Ovis aries: one gene and its partners. The protein of the gene in region 1 interacts with the protein of each later gene in a pairwise test. Links are inferred from orthologs where the notes say so. Each region holds a gene or a part of one and is shown on either strand. Other genes may lie near its edges. The genes, in order: keratin-associated protein 26-1, MGAT5B, CCNJL, GRN and GDPD5.

Region 1 (2,843 bases):
CTCCTTGCAGTCCAAGGGACTCTCAAGAGTCTTCTGCAACACCACAGTTCAAATGCATCAATTCTTCGGTGCTCAGCTTTCTTCACAGTCCAACTCTCACATCCATACATGACCACTGGAAAAACCATAGCCTTGACTAGACAGATCTTTTTGGCAAAGTAATGTCTCTGCTTTTCAATATGCTATCTAGGTTGGTCATAACTTTCCTTCCAAGGAGAAAGTGTCTTAATTTCATGGCTGTAATCACGATCTGCAGTGATTTTGAAGCCCAGAAAAATAAAGTCTGCCAATGTTTCCACTGTTTCCCCATCTTTTTGCTATGAAGTGATGGGACCAGATGCCATGATCTTCGTTTTCTGAATGTTGAGCTTTAAGCCAACTGTTTCACTCTCCTCTTTCACTTTCATCAAGAGGCTCTTTAGTTCCTCTTCACTTTCTGCCATAAGGGTGGTGTCATCTGCGTATCTGAGGTTATTGATATTTCTCCCGGCAATCTTGATTCCAACTTGTGTTTCTTCCAGTCCAGTGTTTCTCATGATGTACTCTGTATATAAGTTAAATAAGCAGGGTGACAATATACAGCCTTGACATACTCATTTTCCTATTTGGAACCAGTCTGTTGTTCCATGTCCAATTCTAACTGTTGTTTCCTGACCTGCATACAGATTTCTCAAGAGGCAGGTCAGGTGGTCTGTATTCCCATCTCTCTCAGAATTTTCCACAGTTTATTGTGATCCACACAGTCAAAGGTTTTGGCATAGTCAATAAAGCAGAAATATATGTTTCTCTGGAACTCTCTTGCTTTTTTGATGATCCAGCAGATGTTAGCAGTTTGTTCTCTGGTTCTTCTGCCTTTTCTAAAGGCAGCTTGAACATCTGGAAGTTCACAGTTCACGCATTGCTAAAGCCTGACTTGGGGAATTTTAAGCATTACTTTGTTAGCGTGTGAGATGAGTGCAATTGTGTGGTAGTTTGAGCATTCTTTGGCATTGCTTTTCTTTGGGATTGGAATGAAAACTGACCTTTTCCAGTCCTGTGGCCACTTCTGGGTTTTCCAAATTTGCTGGCATATTGAGTGCAGCACTTTCACAGCATCATCTTTCAGGATTTGAAATAGCTCCACTGGAATTCCATCAGCTCCTCTAGCTTTGTTCACTTATGGAGTGGCGATTATTATTGGAATTAAGAAAACGACCTTCAAAATATCTGTCTTGGTTGGGTAATTTAAGGAGCACAGATACTATTTAAATCTGGTCATGCTGCTTTATAGATATCCTTAATCAATGGAAAGCCTTGCAAGGAATATCCAGTTTTATGGGAGGTGGAAGCATCACTTCCTGGACTCTAATGAAGAGTTGTTACGCGGCATCACACAACGCGGAAGAGTCTGTGCAGAATCACCGCCTTCTGTCAGGGTATATAAGACAGCACCGCGAAGGCGAAACCTGAGACACTCACTTCTTTGCAACAGACGACAACCTGCTCCTGAAACCTCACCATGTCTTGCCACAACTACTGCTCCGGAAACTACACCTTGGGGTCTCTCAGGAGTCCCTGTCACATTCCCGTCGCCTCCTCCGTCGGCCTCTACACTCCGAGTGTGAGCGTAGGAGATGGTCTCTGCTTGCCCAGCAGCTGTCAGGACCGAACCTGGATCCTGAGCAATGGCCAGGAGACCTGCAGTGAACCTACCAGCTGCCAGCCAGCCAACTGCGAGCCCAGCAGCTGTGAAACTTCCAGCTACCCTTCTTCTGGTTGCTATGTGCCAAGACCCAGCCAAGGAACGAGTTTTCTTCCCGCTTCTTCTTACCTCTCTGGATCCTGCCTCTCAGTGTCTTATAGACCGCTGGCCTATGTGTCCAGCAGCTCGCGACCCTTGAGCCTTCTCCCTTGTGGATATCGCCCCTCGGGTTCTTTGCCCTGTGGTCTTCAACCCATCAGCATTGTGTCCAGCGGCCTCAGACCTCTACGCCCTGTCTTCAGTGGATGCCAAACTCTGCCTTATGTGTTCAGTCCTTACCGTCCATCTTACTCTACCTGCGGAGGCCTGTAGCTTCTTTATTCCGGGCAATGATCACGCTGAAGATCCGAGACGACAATTGCAACTCCGCGCTCTTCTGCTCCTTTGCTAGTAGTGGCTGCCTGATCCAATGAAAGCTGTTCCTGTGCTTTTCCTGTGCCTGATCCAATGAAAGCTGTTCCTTTCCCATTTACATCTGTTTTTCATCTCTCCTTAGCATAAAATTATGATTTGCAGTGCTCTTCAATGTTGATTGGGTGTGGGAAGAATTTATTTGCTTTGGATTAAAATAAATGCGTTTAAGTCAGAACTAAGAACCTGGTGCTTCAGTTTGTCTTTATTTTAACACATGTGTGACTAACCTCAACTGCCTACAAGAGAAGTGGCTAGGACTTGGTATACCCAACTATGTGATTTTTACCTCACAGACTAGCTTGATGGTTTACTCCTCAAACTGCTTTCTAGATCTCTCTGATCCTACAACCTTAAAAGACCCAAAAACCTTTGGTGGAAGTTTGAAAAGACAAAATTAGGAATGATCTCCCTGTATCTCTCTTCCAGTGAACATGCCTTGACCAGAACATGCTTTCTAGTCAAAAACTAAAGGTATTTCACTCTTGCTTAAGCCTTTGATGGCTTCTTATGACTGATTCCTATACAACGAAAATACAAACATCATTACATTTGTTTCTTGCTTCTTCTTCTTCTTTTTTTTTTTTCATTGTCTCTCTCCTTCCCACTTCTTTGGCTTCACTTTCTTTTCTTCTCAATACTGCAAATTTTAAGGTCCGATGATTCTGACATACACATAGCTCCCCAACAT
Region 2 (3,515 bases), on another chromosome or scaffold:
AGGGTGAGGCCACTCGAGGTGAGGGGAGGGAGAGGAGGGGCAGGTAGGTGGGGGGAGGGACGCCTGCTTTCTCCCTGCCCGCCGTTCTCATTATCACAGGCCGGTAATTCCAGCAGGACCAGCACCTGCCATTCTGTGAGACAGATCGCTGTGCACACCTGTAATTAGACCTAATGGGGGTAATTTCCAGGCAGGCTGGCTCGTCCGGTGGGAGATTCGCGGCAGGTGGGACGTGGCTGCTCTGAAAGGTCCCCTCATTCGGGGGGGGCTGCGGCTTTGAATCACCGCGTGATGGGCTTCAAACCACGAGGGGGATAACTCGGCGGCTGCTGCTAGAGCAGGCACTGACATTTGGAGGGGAAGTCTCTTCTTCGGGGGGTTTATTTAAAACCAGGACTTGAAGCCTTGTAGCCGAGGCGACTGGGGAACTGCTAGGGCAGCAGCTGGCGACGGGGCCTCGGCGGCCAGCAGCTCAGGCTGGGACTGACTGTGCAGAGCTCAGGGCTGAAAAGCTGTGCTGGTCGATGGGCTGTGAAGAATGTGGCTGGGTGTGGACCCGGGGAATTCTCTGGGACCCCGGAACTGCCCCTGGGTTAAGGACTCCAGCTCACAGTGCAGTTGAAGTGAGGACTGGGGCAAGGTCAGATGGGAGGGGTCTTGTCCTGAGACTCGGTCCTGGTGGCGGCTGCCGCTTCCCAAGACCCTCCTCAGCTTGATGTCGGGCATGTCCCCCTGGCCAGAGGGCTCAGGATGGGCCTGCAGCCCCTCGAGGTGGGGTCTCCTGGAGGCAGGATTGGGCTCTGACTCCACCTCTGATGATGAGGAAGGGCAGGTGCGGGGGGAGTGTGGCCTCGAGCAGACCTGCAGGATTTCACTACCAGGGCTGAAGCTACCTGATTTCTGGCGCTGCTGGCTGGGAAATGGCATTAACAGGAGGTGGGCTGGCTGGGTGTGGTGCCCCCCCTACACACACACACACATGGGGAGTGGGGCATGGGTGTTGAAGACTAAAACAGATCTTTCTCTGAGTCTGAGATGGACTATCTCCCAGGTCAGCCTGCTCTTGCCTCCTGCCCACCTGGCCGATCTTTCCTCCAAGCTGGCTTTGTGCTGGGCCACCGGGGGGTTGGTGTAAACAGGGCAGGGGTGGTCAGGCGAGAAGAGTGGAGGAGAGGTGGGGGTCCCCACTCCCGGGAGGCAGGTGCCTCATCACTTCCTCTCTCTGTTCCCTTCACTTCTCGGGCCCCAGCTGCCAAATCCATCTGCTCCCATCAGCCCCAGTGTGTGCTGCTCTGTAACTTTGATATTTAGATGGACGGTGTGTGGCCTCCGTTTGGGGCACCTAGTTCATGGAGCTCCCAGGTGCCTGATCTGGGCAGGAAGCTTCACAGATGTGATCTCATTCCATCAGACTGAGAGATGCTCTGGGTTTCTTTGCGTGAACCTTCCACATCTTGGGCAGGACACAGGCAGAGCTGGGATGCTTTTCCGTCCTATGACTACTTCCCCAGTGAGGACTGTGTTCCGGGCAGTGGGTGAGGCATCAGGGATTCGATGGTGAACAAGTCATGGTCCCAGAGTGCATGGGGCTCCTAACCTGAGGCAGACAAGGGACACATCAGAAATGATGACACAGGAGCCAGTTCTACACTGGGGAAGCCTGGGGTGGGGGCCAAGGAAAGTGGTCTTTTAACAGGAGTTAAACAGGAGGTGGTACTCTGGGTCTGCTTCCTGGAGGAGGTGACATCTAAGCTATGCTGTGCTTCGTCACTGTCATGTCTGACTCTTGGTGACCCCGTGGCCTGTAGCCCACCAGGCTCCTCTGTCCATGGGGATTCTCCAGGCAAGAAGACTGAAGTGGGTTGCCATGCCCTCCTTCAGGGCACCTTCCCAACCCAGGGATCGAACCCAGGTCTCCCGCATTGTGGGCAGATTCTTTACTGAGCCACCAGGGAAGCCCAAGGATACTGGAGTGGGTAGCCTATCCCTTCTCCAGGGGAAGTTTTTGACCCAAGAATCAAACCAGGGTCTCCTGCGTTGCAGGCGGATTCTATACCAGCTGAGCTGAGCCACCAGGGAAGCAAAGAATACTAGCGAAGGTTGTCATTTCCTCCTCCAGATGAACTTCCTGACCCAGGGATTGAACTCATGTCTCCTGCCAGTGGATTCTTTACCACTGAGCCACCGGGGAAGGAGAGGATGAATCCAGGGGTTGGCTCAGAAAGAGCAGACATCACAGCCCAAATGGAGATGGAACAGTGAGCTTTAGGGAAAGAGGAAAAACTTGGTGTAGCTGGAAGAGAGCCAAGGAGAGATGAGCTGTCCTGAGCCCCTGGGGGCACTGCGGGGTGCACTGAGGAGCAGGGCATTTGAGTGGATGGAGTGGTCGGCTCACTGGGTGCAGGATGCCTGAGCCCCCAGATCTCTGCTCCCAGAGCTGAGCGGCCAGGTCTGGGGAGCCCCAGGGTTTCTCCTGACCCATGTGTCTGCCTGTCTCTCCCACAGGTGGACCCCTACCTGCCCTACGAGTACACATGTGAGGGGATGCTGGAGCGAATCCATGCCTACATCCAGCACCAGGTGTGTGGGTCCCCCACCCTCTGTCTCTGGGGTGGGATGGCTCCAGAGTCTGAGGACCCACCTCTGCCTGGGGTGCAGGGTGCTTTAAACCCCCAGTCTTTCTCCAGCCTGTTTTCTTCCCTGTGAAGGGTGGAGATGGACTGTTGGGGGGACAACAGTACTACTCAGAGACCAGGCCTGGAGCGCCCCTCTCCTGGACCCCCAGCTCTAGCATCCCAGCCTCCATATCATAGCATGGAAATCCAAATACTTTTATTTTTCATTTTATTATAAAGCTGTTTAAAAGTTTGGTAGCAAGTGAGGGGGAAGTAGGGAGTAGGTTGAGTCGGCGGGAGAGAGGCACCCCAATTTTCCTCCTAACTCTGCTTTCCTCCCGGCAGGACTTTTGTGTAGACCCGGCTCCTGCCCCACCTGGGGCCCGAGCCCCGCAAAGCCCCTTCATCCTGGCTCCCAATGCCACCCATCTCGAATGGGCCCACAACACCAGCTTAGCCCCGGGGGCCTGGCCCCCAGTGCACTCTCTCCGGGCCTGGCTGGCTGCCACGGGGAGGGCCTGCACGGACGCCTGCCTGGACCACGGGCTGATCTGTGAGCCCTCGTTCTTCCCCTTCCTCAACAGCCAGGACGCCTTCCAGAAGTGAGTGAGCCCCCTGCCTGACCTGGCCCAGCTGACCTCACCTGTAGCCTGTCACTCCCTTGACCACCTTGCCCCCTGGCCTGCCAGCAAGGGTGAGGGGGACTCAGTGCTTCCCAGAGAGGAAGGATCTGGAAAGGACCTTCCAGGCAGGTTTCCACATTGCAGCTCTACACCCTTGGCAAAGCCTCAGACCCCTGCCCAGCCTGTCTGGGCATCTTCTAGGTCCAGGCCGCAGAAACTGCCTGATTCCTCCTGATGCGTCAGCCTGTGGCCCTGCCCTCCTGCCCACTGTCAGGAG
Region 3 (3,988 bases), on another chromosome or scaffold:
GAAAAAGAAGTGTTGTCATCCCTCCCCCACCCCCCATCTACCCACAATTGTTAGAATTTTATTTAAAAAGTTAATTTGTGCAAAGTTGGTATTTTCACCTTTTTCTATTTCCTCAAACTTTTCTTATTCTGCTCAACCTTTATAATTTCTTTATTAAGAGCCTGTATTTATTAATGCTTATTCATTGTTATTTTTCACTTTTACAAGGTGTTTTTTTTTTTAACATTAAAACTTCTCTTTAAGCACCTATTGAAGCTTATCAAAGCTGATTTAAAAATTTCTTTCCAGCTGGGTACCTGCCTGTAGGAAACTAGTCAGAAACCAAAGCCTCCTTTGTAGCAGCTAGTTATTGAGTGTTTGTTTTATACTTGGCATGGGGATTATCCCTTTATACGAATTATCTTATTTAACGATGCAGTATCTCCAGCAGATTGGTGTAGTTTTTATTCCCAATTTTCACATGAGGGTGGGTTCCCAGAGAGTCTGAGGAACATGGCAAAAGTCATCCAGTCGGTAGCTGGAATTGAAACGGGTGACTCTCCAAAAGTATCACAAAAAGCAATCAATTTGTTGTTCCATCAGAGGGGCTGGTTCAAGGGAGTGTCTTTCCGAAAACAAATTAAAACTAAATTAAAAAGACAGTGCTTCCATCCACCTGACCCTCCAGAAACACTGGTTTTCTCCCAATGTAACGAGTAGATCTATACTTTGCAGGAGCACAAAACAAAATCCGTTGATTTACTGAGCCTCCTTCAGAAACAAGGACTCTTGGATAATCAAGAGCGGGTTTGGGGGGCTTCCGTGGGAATTTTACATTTAGACAGCCATCTCCGCATTTCAGGACTAGTTAAAAAGAAAAAACAGGTGGAACCGACTAAAGGTAGGTAAGAACAGCGCACGCGAGAGACAGAACTTTCTGGGGGCATCCTGCCCGCGTCCTTCACGAGCGGCGCGCGCAGGTGGCGCCGCGGTCCCAGCGCTGCCCGCGTGAGCACACGGGTGTCCAGGAGACCACCGGGAGTCCCCGCGAAGGTGAGAGGAAGCTTTCCACCCAGGCGGGGGTGGAGTGCGGACTGGAAAAACAGCCAGCTCTGGCGAAAGAAAGACTCCAATTCCCAGCCCCCAGCCCCGCGGGGTGCGGGGGCCGGCGGCGCATGCGCGAGGCCCGGCCCCCAATTCCCCCAGCGAAGGAGGGAGGCCCCCGGCGGCCCGGAGGCTGCGAGCCGCGGCGGGACCCGAGCGCAAGCAGGGGCGCGGCGGCGGCACGGGCGAGCAGGGCTACGGAGGCGGCCGTCGAGAGCTTGGAGCGCCCCGCGCCAGGGCCGCCTTTGCTTGCAGGCACCCGAGGGCACAGCCGGCTCGGCCCTGGGAAGAGCCCGGCGCCCGCAGCCCCCCACCTCCGGAGAGGGATGCGTGAGTTTCGCCCCGGCTGGAGGGCAGGATGTGGGAGCAGGACAAAGGCTGGGCGGCGGGGGAGGAGTTGGGGACGGCGAGCCGGTGGCGGCTGCCGGAGCCCCGGCCTCTGGAGAGCTAGCGGAGTCTGCAACTTTCTGTGCAACTTTTGCAAAAAGGAAGATAAAATTTCTGCAAGTTGTTGCAGAGCTTCAGGTCGCCTCAGGTCCCACGAGTAAAGGGGAGGGGACGGTGCAGCCTTCTTGGGATAGGAGGCGACCGTCCTCCGCTGAGTGGTGCAGAAGGGGGCGCCCGGCAGAGGCCCGAGCCGAGGACAAGAGAGGATGGGGATGCCGGGGTAGGAGCTGGGGGGCGCGCTTCGGGCTCTGAAGTTGCCTGTGTCCACTCAGGGTGTGCCCTCAAAACCCGGTAGCCTCGGAGAGCGGCGCTGCAGACGCGATGATGGATGAGCCGTGGTGGGAAGGGCGCGTCGCCTCGGACGTCCACTGCACCCTGCGCGAGAAGGTCAGTCCCTCCCCGTCCTTGTCACTCGCAGGACTGGGTATGTAAAGTCCCTTTCGCTCTTGACTCCATATCTTCGGGTCGCCCTGCGTCGGAGCTAGGAACTCCCGGTGCCTTTCTTTCCTTCTGCCCTTAGCCTCCTCCGGGGACAGTCGCGGGAAGAAGGGGAATGAGAAACGGGACTGGAGAGCTTAAATTGGTTTTTCTGCATAGGAGCCCAGAGTTCTTAGACAACTAAACTGTACTGCTTAAGGTGGTATTTCCCATAGTATTGTCACCCGAGATTATTTTAAAGGATACATGAACGGACTTAAAAAAAAAAAAGTTATCGTGTATTGACTGTGCAATTTAAAAACATGTATCTAGCAATCTCTGTGTAGAATAAATGATGCTGATTTTCCATTTATTGTAACGATATAGCAGTTCCTTTAAATATGTTTCTTTAAGTAAAAGTAGTAACATGATATAAAGAACAGTTAGGTTAATACTAGACTAAGACATATGTAGTTATGCCCCACCCCCAAAATATCTAGGATGGGACTGAATAAGATTTTAGAAACACTAGTCTAAAGGAGAGGCTACAGAACTAGGAGAATGGGGAGAAAACCAGCACTCCCCTGCCAGTGTGCCTCCACTGGCAGAAGATGGGGACAGCTGAAATATGATCTCTGCTCTCCCCCACCCCTTAAAGGGAGAAGTGCTGATAGGCTCTGGGAAGGTGGCGGACTGCAGGTGGGTTAGAGGTATGGCCTGTGTGTCTTGTCTCCTGCCCCTGAGCTGAGACTGGGAAGGGTGGTTTGGGGAACAGATGTGTAATGAAAGGTGTGTATGGAGAAGGCAATGGCACCTCACTCCAAAACTCTTGCCTGGAAAATCCCATGGATGGAGGAGCCTGGTAGGCTGCAGTCCATGGGGTCGCAAAGAGTCAGACATGACTGAGCGACTTCACTTTCACTTTTCACTTTCATGCATTGGAGAAGGACATGGCAACCCACTCCAGTGTTCTTGCCTAGAGAATCCCAGGGACAGAGGAGCCTGGTAGGAGGCCGTCTATGGGGCTGCACAGAGTTGGATGTGACTGAAGCGACTTAGCAGCAGCAGCAGCATTGGTTTCCTAGGGCTGCTGGACAAGCTACCACAAACCTGGGGCCTTAATAAAAATGTGCTCTCTGACAGTTCTGGAGGCTGGAAGTCCGCAGTTAAGGTGTTAGCAGGGCCACATTGCTCCTTGGCTTTCCTTGGCTGGTAGATGCATCGCTCTGCCTCTGCCTCTTGTCACATGGTGTTCTGTCGGTATGTCTGTCTGTGCCTCTGTTTTCTCACCTTATAAGGACACCAGTCGTTGGAATGGGGGCTGCTTGACCTCATCTTAATTTAATTAATTACATCAGAAAAGACCCTATTTCCAAATAAAGCCATTCTGAGGTTCTGGGTAGACATGAATTTTGGGGGGACGCTATCCAACCCAGTACAGCGAGGGGTAGGTCTCCTTAGTGAGTCCCTGGGTCACATCCAGTGCATTTGCACCCAATGTCTGTGGAGTTCTGCCTAAAAAGTCATTAGCTATTCAGAGTTTTTTCCTCATGAGGGGGTAGCTGTATTCCAGTCCAATTATCTTATCTTGTTTCCTGTACCTAGTAGTCCATCTCTGTTTTGCATTGCTTGTCAGGCTGCGGCTTTCCTCTGCTTCCCTTGGTTTTTCTCCCCAGAACAGTACGGCCCAAGGTGCAAGCATAGCAAGGCATATGGAAAAGAAATCCAGATCTTGGTGGTTCAGGTAACATGCCGGCAGTGGGAGTGGTAGACCAGGTAGTAAGGTCTTGGTCCTTTTCTGGAGGTGGTGGCTAGATGAATTAGTGAGGCCTGCCGTAAAAACGGGGCTTGCTTGTTCTTTGCAGGTGCCAGTGGTTGTCAGCTCTGCTGGTAGCTTAGGGGAATGGCTTTGACCTCATTGGTTCCTTTCTGGCAGGAAGGATTTCTGAGAGCAGTATAAACTCAACCAGCTCAGTTACCTGAGAATCCTCGACCTTTTGTATATAAATAAGAATGTTCTCATCGCTCCTTCAGCCACTCA
Region 4 (4,206 bases), on another chromosome or scaffold:
TATCTCCTGGTACATCTCCCATCACCCACCTCTGCCTGGGCCAGGCCCCATAAAGGGCACCAAGCAGTCTAGCTCCTGCTGCTGGTGAATCTGTTCTGTGCGGTTTTTTTTTTTTCTCCCTCACTGGCTTCCTTGGTGGCTAAGATGGTAAAGAATCTGCCTGCAATGTGCAAGACACAGGTTTGATCCCTGGGTTGAGAAAATCCACTAGAGAAGGAAATGGCTACCCACTCCAGTATTTTTTCCTGGAGAATTACATGGACAGAAGAGCCTAGAAAGCTACAGTCCATGGGGTCTCAAAAAGTCGGACACAACTGAGCGACTAACACTTTCACTTTACGGCTTCCCTGGTGGCTCAGTGGTAAAGAATCTACTTGCAAAGCAGGAGACCCAGGAGACTGCGGTTTCATCCCTGGAGAAGGGAATGGCAATCCACTCCTATATTCTTGCCTGGAAAATTCCACGGACAGAGACTTGTGGGCTATATAGTTCATGGGGTCGCAGAGTCGGATACGACCGAGTACACACGCTCGCTAACGCGCGCATCAACAAATCAATTCCTGAAAGGTAAGGGCTTGACTGAAACTAAGGAGCTACTTCCGGTATGCACCCACACCCACAGTCAGCCCAGCCTGGTGCCACACACCCAGCAACTCCACAAGTCCACTTCACTGAACCTGGCATTCAATCCCCGCCCAAGGCTGCCCTTCCATCTGGTTTTCTAATGCTTTTCCCAATACCCTCTGTCTAGCTACTTCTCCAACCCGTCTCCACTTGCCACTTAAAATCCTCCCAGACTCAGCTTCAAAAAGTGCCCCCAAGGTGGCACTTTTTTCCTGCTCAGATCTAACCAACTACTTCTTCTCTACACACACCTGGAGCACCTGGAACACGATTCTCCTACCCCCTCCCCATCCCCTGCTGTGAGCACCTTGAGGAAAGGACCTGAGGTCTGTTTATCCTTGCCCTCACAACTCTCCTTCAGTCCCCGTTGGGGCCCGGCTGCCGAGCACTAAATCTGCATGGGATGAACAGAATAGAGACAGGATGCACAACTGTTCTAAATCCAAGAGACACCCCTTAAATGCTCTTGAACGCACCCACTAAGGGACAGATCTCTTGGCTCTCAATGTCCCCGAAAAGGAGCTGACTCTCGGGATGGGTTAACAGAAGGCAGCGGGCACCCGCAAGCAGGCTGAGCCGTCCCAGGGCGTCACATGATTCTCCAATCACATGATCCCTAGAAATGGGGGGTTGGGGAGAGAGAGGAAGGAGGGAGGGGAGTGAATTGAGTAGGAAAAGAAACACAGGATCCCAGGTTGGCCCCGCCTTTACGTCGACGAGTAGCCAATGGGAGTGCGACATTCCGGACACCTGACCAATGGAAATTGAAGTGGGTGGGCCATCGAGCCGAGTGGCCCAAGTGGATGAGCTGCCTGACCGCTGCTACCCAGCGATCGCGGACCCCGACGCAGGTAAGGAGGGTGGACTTCGCTTGCTCCTTCTTAGGGGCCCAGCCTGGGGGACGTGGGAGATGGGGCTCCTCTGGAGTTTCAGCGGTGATACAAAAAAAAAGATTCTCTTATAGAAACTCCGATGCACTGGAGGGAGTTTTATGGGTGGTGGGAGTAAACAGTAATTGCAGTGACCCCCATTAGAAGGGGCTCTCTCTCCAGCACCCCTGGAGGCTGCAGCCCCTTCTCCCAAAGCAGAGATCACTCTGTTCTTGAGTCGACTCCGCCCCCGTCGGCAGGTGCTGGTAGTGGTGCTGGTGGGCAGTCCCCGCTGCGCCTGGCAGCAAGCGAGGCACCCGCCCCTGGCCCCCGAGCTCAGAGGGCTGGGAGTAGGGCTTGTGATCCTGGTCTCCTCAAAGACAGTAGGGACTTGGGAGTGGTGATTGAACCCCTGGGATGTGTCTGACTCTCTCTAACTTCCTCTCGTGGGGCTAACTTCCGCCTCCCCCGGCCACTTTTTCTTGCTCTCTCCGCTGTTGGGTTGGCTCACCTTTTGGGAAATCTTTCTCCTGGCACTCGAAGTGGGGGGCTGCCATCTAGTGGAAGATGACGGAGCTGGGGACTTGAAGAGGCAGTGTCCTCCCTCTCTGTAGTGGCAGTGTCGGGTTGGGGTGCCACCACTTGGAACCCTACTGAGATGAACTGGGTTCCCTCTTCCCCATTCTGGTTCTGAGTGTGTGTGTGCGCGCGTACATATATGTGTATTCAGTAGAAGCGTACACTACTTCCAAACCCCAGGATACCCAGGAAGAAGGATGTACCTAAATGAATCACTAGGGTGCTGAGTAGTCAGAGATGTGTGCAGACAGGCATCCCTCCTGGCCAGGGCAGGCCAGCGAGTCTGCAGGGTTATGATTGGACTCCTAAAAAGCAGGGCGGCCAGCTCCCTTTCCAGGGAGCTGTGGGCATTGGGGAAGAGAGTGAAAGGGGCCAAGGTCCAGGACCAGTCTTCTTCAGCCTCTCCTGTACAGGAGATAGCCTCCAGGGGGTGGTCTTTGAGTTGGGGAGAGGGCGGTGAGGAAAGCCAGGTGAGGGAGAGAGGATGTGAGTGACCCTGTGTGTGCTATTCTCTGCCACACAAAGTGTGCAGTGTCCACCCATAGACTGACTGAGAACTGAGGCCTAAAGACAGGAAGCAACTTCTGAGGCCTTCATTCTAGCACTCATGTGCAGTATCCAGGCAGCCCCTGTACCCCACATTTCTGTCTGGGTCCAGTCTACTTGCCCAGAGAAACATTTCTATCCCTCTTCTCTGCTTGGACACCAGGCTTCTATCCTCCTTGGGTTTGGGGGGCCTGTCCCAGGCACTGTCCGTGGTACCACTTGTGAACCCAGGTCCAATATACTCTGGAGCCATCAGAGCCTGTCATCTCTATGTTTTGATATTTGACATAGGCGGGTTACTTCCTATCTCTAAGCCTCAGTTTCCTCCTTAGAAAAGTAAAGGTAATAATTCCTACTTTGCATGGTTGTTACAGAAAAAAAAAAAAAAGAAAATATGTAGAATGTTGTCACTGGCTTCTAACTGGTTCAGCACACATGACTGTTTTGGCCCCTCTAGACAGGGTAAGATCTTCTGGGCCTGCCCCATTGAACTAGCAGGGCTGGCTGAGCTTGGGGGAAGAGTTGTTCAGGAAGTGAAAGGCCACTCCCCTTCAGAGAATGAGGCTTGCTTCCTTCTGCTGATGTGGATGGCAGCCTGGTGGGCACACATGGGCTCTCTACATGCAGCTGGGTTTCTGCTCCAGGATAGGGAGAGGTGGAGGGGAAGGGTGGTGGGAATGTTTGAGGATCCTGAAAGGGCCTGGTGTGGGACTTCCCTGGCAGTCTGGTGGTTAAGACTCCAAGCTCCCAATGTAGGGGGCATGGGTTCAATCCCTGATCAGGGAACTAAGAACCAACATGCTGCATGGGCATGGCCCCCCAATTTTTTTAATTAAAAAATTTTTAAAAGAAAGGTCCTGGTTGTATTGGGGGCCCATGGAGCACAGGTGACCCAAAGGTTGACCAAGCCTATGCGTCTCCTTTGGATGGGGAGGGGACAGTCAGCAGGCAGGTGGTGGCTGGCCTTTGGGGAAGGCAGCCCAGACTCCGTCAACATCATGCTTCCTTTTTCACAACTTTCTCAACCCCGTGGTTGATCATGTCATCATGTGACCTCCCCTCCCCTGCCAGCAGGCCTTAGCAGAGGGCAGGTGTGAACACAGCATTGGGTGAAGAGGCAACTGGAGGCACTGGCTCGGGAAGTGAAACCCTGGCTTTCCTTCAAGGGGAGACTTCAGTTCTTTCTTCCTAGGGCAACTGATGTCTTTCCCACCCCCATGGAGGTGGCTTACCTCCCCACAGCTCAGGCCCACAAAACCCACAGATCTTCCGGACTCTCACATACCCACATCTGCACACACTCAGCCACAGAGATTCAACTGTTAGGCCATGCACTGGGGACACAGATTCACTCACGTACGCATGCCAGCATTCATGCTCATGGATGTACACTCGCTGGTGCACGTGTGACCCCCGCACAGGACACACGTAGGAAGCTGAGCCTCAAGCCCCGCATCTTCTTGCCCGGACAGGCTGTTGTTGTGGAGGCTCAGATGGTCCTGGGCCTTCGGCAGGGGGCAGTGACTGGTCCCAGAATCAAGGGTGGCCTCAGCTTAAGCCAGTTGCCAAATGCTTCTTGGCACTTTGC
Region 5 (3,515 bases), on another chromosome or scaffold:
GGCAAGGGGAGCGGATGTAGGGTTCTGGAGGTAAGAGGGCTGGAGAGCCATGGCTGAGAGTCGGTGGACTCTGATCAGGCCCCAGCTCTGCCCTTCTCTGGGCTTCAGATTCCCCACAGATTCTATACAGTCAGACAAGATTCCTGCTGGTCTCTCGGGCCAGTTCCAGAGAGTCTGTGGAAGTGGGCATGATCCCTGCTCCAAGGAAGGGTGGGGAAGGACCTGATGCCCACGGGGCCGTCTCTGCAGGTGGCGCCTGGGTGGCATCCGGAGCTACAACCCCGAGCAGATCATGCTGAGTGCCGCAGTGCGCCGGACCAGCCGAGACGTCAGCATCATGAAGGAGAAGCTCATCTTCTCAGGTGTGCAACTCCACAGACAGGTTGAGACAGGCTCTGGGCTCTGTTCTCTGCACCCTGCAGGTTCACACGGGTGTGTGTACACATATTTCACATGCAGCATGCACAGACAGGCACATGGCACAGACATACGTATACCCACCTGGCTTCATGTCACAATGACACGGAAGCACACACACGCACCCCTCCACCTGCAGCCATCAGCTCCAGGTCCTGTGGCTCAGTGTCAGCCCCAGGGGTGGTGGGCTAGGGTGACATGCTGGGGTTGGGGGAGGAGTCTGCTTTGAAGGTCCATCCTGCCATATGCCTGGTTCATACAGGAACCCCACAAATGTTGATTTCCCCCCCTGCTTGCTGCCTGTTGACATTCCCAGACTGAAGGAGGAAGCAGCTGTACAAACAAATACATGGAGAATTAGATATAACAGATGGGGATGCAAGGAGGAGAGGGGTTCAGCACTGCCTGGGACAGTGAGGAAGGCTTCAGGCCCACTTTGTGAGGAGTGATGTCATTGAAATGGAAAGGAATGATAGGAGGGGCCTGGCTGATGGGTTTGAGGTGAGGACTGCGCAAGCAGAGGGAAGGAAGGGCACTCCAGGCAGGAACAGCATGTGTTCAGAGGCAGCGAGGAATGCCTACTTGCTGGGCACCAAGAACTCCAGGTCACTCCGCATGGCTTGAAGGGAGTGCCTCTGGCTGGTTCACCCCAAGGTGGCACTGGGGAGGCACTTGGGCCTGAGTGTGTGGTCAGGAGCTTGAGCTTTGTTCTGGAAGCAGAGGAGGGTCACAGATAGGTTTGCCTTTGTTACAGTAGGGCTGTAACAAAGTACCACGCGCTTAGAACAGAGATGGCTTAAAGGTGGCTTAAAAACAGAGATGTATCGTCTCACAGTTGGGAATGCTGAGTCCACGATCAAGGTGTCAACAGGGCTGTGAGGGAAAAATCTGGTCCTGGCCTCTCCCCTTGCCTCGCGAATGCATCTCTGTGTTTGAAGCTCTCCTTTGCAAGGACACCAGTCCGCTCTAACGACATCACCTTAACTAATTACATCTGCTGTGACCTTATTACCAGAGAGAGTCACATGCGGAGTGTAGGAATATAGGAATTTGAGGGGAACACAATTCAACCTCTTTTTGGGGGGTGGGCACACCACACAGCTTATGGGATCTTAGTTCCCTGACCAGGAATTGAACCCATGCCCCCCTGCAGTGGAAGCATGGAGACCTAACCACTGGACTGCCAGGGAAGTCCCCACAATTCAATCCCTAACAAGTGTGGAGGGTGGTAGGTTAGAATGGGAAGCTGAAAGCAAGGAAACCAATAATTCAGATGGGAATCGTGGGCATGGAAATGGGAAAGGAGAGATCTGGGAGGTATTTACAAGCCAGATGGCCCTGGATTCAAAGCCCAGCTTACGCCCCTCGCTGTGTGAACAAGAATGTGTTACCTAACCTACCTCAGCCTCAGACATCTCATCTGTAAAATGGGCGAGGTTTCCCTCACAGAGTACTTGTGAGGGTTAGTGCCATGCCTGGCCCAGAGGGGTGCTTGCTAAATGCTGCTTGAATGAACCTGGACCCAGAGTGGGTGGTTGTGGTTTTAGGGGGGGCTGGCTCCAACGACTGTGTGAACGTCCACTCATTCAGTCACTCCATTCACCCTTCTTTCAAGGCGTGGCAGGCACTGCTCCGGGTGCTAAGGATATGCAGATTCTTGCCTCTGGGATGCTCGACTCCTCCTACCCTCACTCAAAACCCTCCTCCTGGGAGCCTTCCCTGAGCACCAGAGCTGGGTTGGAGGGCCTACCCTAGTGTTCCACAGCTCTCTGGCAACACTGAGGAGCTCCTGGAAGGAGGAGCCAGAACAGGGCGTCTGGGATCCTCAGGCTCCTGCACTGTACCTGACTCCGAGAAGCCAGAAGGGGTGGGTAGAATGAATGGAAGGCAGGCCAGCACTTAGGCCTGTCAGATCCTGCACCCCACCCCTCACCTTTCCTGCAGTGCCAAAGGCCATTCACTTAGCATCTTCTGGGTGCTGGCCCTGAGGAATCAACCACAGGTCTTACCCTCTGCCCATTCCTGGTTGAGAAGTCCTCTCTAGGGACCGTCAGCCCCACCCAGGCACCTGGAGTCCCCTTGGGGAGGCTTCGCTGCCCTCAGCAGACCTTTTCTGAGGCTCTGCTGTGCGTCCAGCACTGCACCAGGCACTGGGAACACTGATGCCCAGGCCTCATCCGTGTCCTTGAAGTGCTCCGGCTGAAGGGGGTCACAGATGGTGATGGAGCAGGGGGAGCAGCAGGGGGCAGGGTGAGGAGGCCCCCTCCCAGCCTGGGAGCAGTAACAGAAATGAGAAGAATTTAGCCAGGTTTTAAGAAAAGGAGGTGATGTTGGGGGGTCGTGCCCAGGAGATAGGCCAATGTGTGCAAAGCCCCAGGGAGAGTAAACACGCCGGTGCCACGCTCAGGAGGGTGCAGGTAGTTTTCTGTGGCTTGAGGGTAGAGTTCCAGGGGAGAGGAGAATGAGGCGCAACCAGAGTGTTTGCAGAGACTGAGAAGGGCCTTGAATGCCAGACTCACACACCAGTACCACACCTGAAACCTGAGGTTGCATCAGCCTCCAAGTGCCTGCTCGGGAGTTGCTACAGGCCACGCCTCCCCACCGCATCTGCCAGTCCTCCTTATGTGCCCCCTCTCCTCCCTGCACTCACATCTTGCCTCCCTGTGGCCCAACAGAGATCAGCGATGGCATGGAGGTCTCCGATGAGCTCTCCGTATGTTCGGACAACAGTTACGACACGTATGCTGACAGCGCCACCGCCCCGGTGGCCCCTCGGGGGAGCGGCAGCCGTGCCAAGACCCTCACAGACCGGAGTGGGCGTTAGCTGAAGACCCGTCTGTCCAGCTGTACCTCGTGTGGAGACAAGAGAAGCGCACAGAGCTGGCAGGAGCATGCTCGGGGCGCTGACTCCACAGCCTCCTCATAGGCTCTGGCCCCTTGTCAGCCACGGCCTCTCTTGGAGGGGCTCCCCTCTAGCCTCTCAGATGCCCCTGCAGGCCTGGGGCTCCGTTTTCTGGGAAGTTTGGGGCCCAGGGCCCGGGGCCTGGTCGACTCCCTGAGGCCCTCCTTGGCATCCTTACCTGGAAGCTTTGGGGGGT

The links.
Region 2: the proteins of keratin-associated protein 26-1 (region 1) and MGAT5B interact in a two-hybrid assay, tested with the Homo sapiens proteins (3 studies listed by BioGRID and IntAct). The two-hybrid records come from large-scale screens. The link is inferred for Ovis aries from reciprocal best matches to the Homo sapiens genes KRTAP26-1 and MGAT5B.
Region 3: the proteins of keratin-associated protein 26-1 (region 1) and CCNJL interact in binary tests that used the Homo sapiens proteins (3 or more experiments, as listed by UniProt). The two-hybrid records come from large-scale screens. The link is inferred for Ovis aries from reciprocal best matches to the Homo sapiens genes KRTAP26-1 and CCNJL.
Region 4: the proteins of keratin-associated protein 26-1 (region 1) and GRN interact in binary tests that used the Homo sapiens proteins (3 or more experiments, as listed by UniProt). The two-hybrid records come from large-scale screens. The link is inferred for Ovis aries from reciprocal best matches to the Homo sapiens genes KRTAP26-1 and GRN.
Region 5: the proteins of keratin-associated protein 26-1 (region 1) and GDPD5 interact in a two-hybrid assay, tested with the Homo sapiens proteins (2 studies listed by BioGRID and IntAct). The two-hybrid records come from large-scale screens. The link is inferred for Ovis aries from reciprocal best matches to the Homo sapiens genes KRTAP26-1 and GDPD5.

What each region holds. Positions count from the first base shown.
Region 1 is NC_056054.1:126,218,548-126,221,390, forward strand, and holds keratin-associated protein 26-1, read left to right. Parts: upstream 1-1,447; 5' UTR 1,448-1,498; coding exon 1,499-2,053; 3' UTR 2,054-2,070; coding exon of another isoform or gene 2,071-2,131; 3' UTR 2,132-2,334; downstream 2,335-2,843. Other genes in the region: keratin-associated protein 24-1, read left to right, coding at 2,071-2,131. UniProt on the Homo sapiens protein: In the hair cortex, hair keratin intermediate filaments are embedded in an interfilamentous matrix, consisting of hair keratin-associated proteins (KRTAP), which are essential for the formation of a rigid and resistant hair shaft through their extensive disulfide bond cross-linking with abundant cysteine residues of hair keratins.
Region 2 is NC_056064.1:54,245,273-54,248,787, reverse strand, and holds part of MGAT5B (alpha-1,6-mannosylglycoprotein 6-beta-N-acetylglucosaminyltransferase B), read left to right. Parts: intron 1-2,505; coding exon 2,506-2,580; intron 2,581-2,960; coding exon 2,961-3,217; intron 3,218-3,515. UniProt on the Homo sapiens protein: Glycosyltransferase that acts on alpha-linked mannose of N-glycans and O-mannosyl glycans.
Region 3 is NC_056058.1:69,446,928-69,450,915, reverse strand, and holds the start of CCNJL (cyclin-J-like protein), read left to right. Parts: upstream 1-1,183; 5' UTR 1,184-1,413; intron 1,414-1,802; 5' UTR 1,803-1,851; coding exon of another isoform or gene 1,852-1,858; coding exon 1,859-1,954; intron 1,955-3,988.
Region 4 is NC_056064.1:43,885,864-43,890,069, forward strand, and holds the start of GRN (progranulin), read left to right. Parts: upstream 1-1,399; 5' UTR 1,400-3,080; intron 3,081-4,206. UniProt on the Homo sapiens protein: Secreted protein that acts as a key regulator of lysosomal function and as a growth factor involved in inflammation, wound healing and cell proliferation. Regulates protein trafficking to lysosomes, and also the activity of lysosomal enzymes.
Region 5 is NC_056068.1:53,340,624-53,344,138, reverse strand, and holds part of GDPD5 (glycerophosphodiester phosphodiesterase domain-containing protein 5), read left to right. Parts: exon of another isoform or gene 1-242; intron 243-249; coding exon 250-362; intron 363-3,092; coding exon 3,093-3,241; 3' UTR 3,242-3,515. UniProt on the Homo sapiens protein: Glycerophosphodiester phosphodiesterase that promotes neurite formation and drives spinal motor neuron differentiation.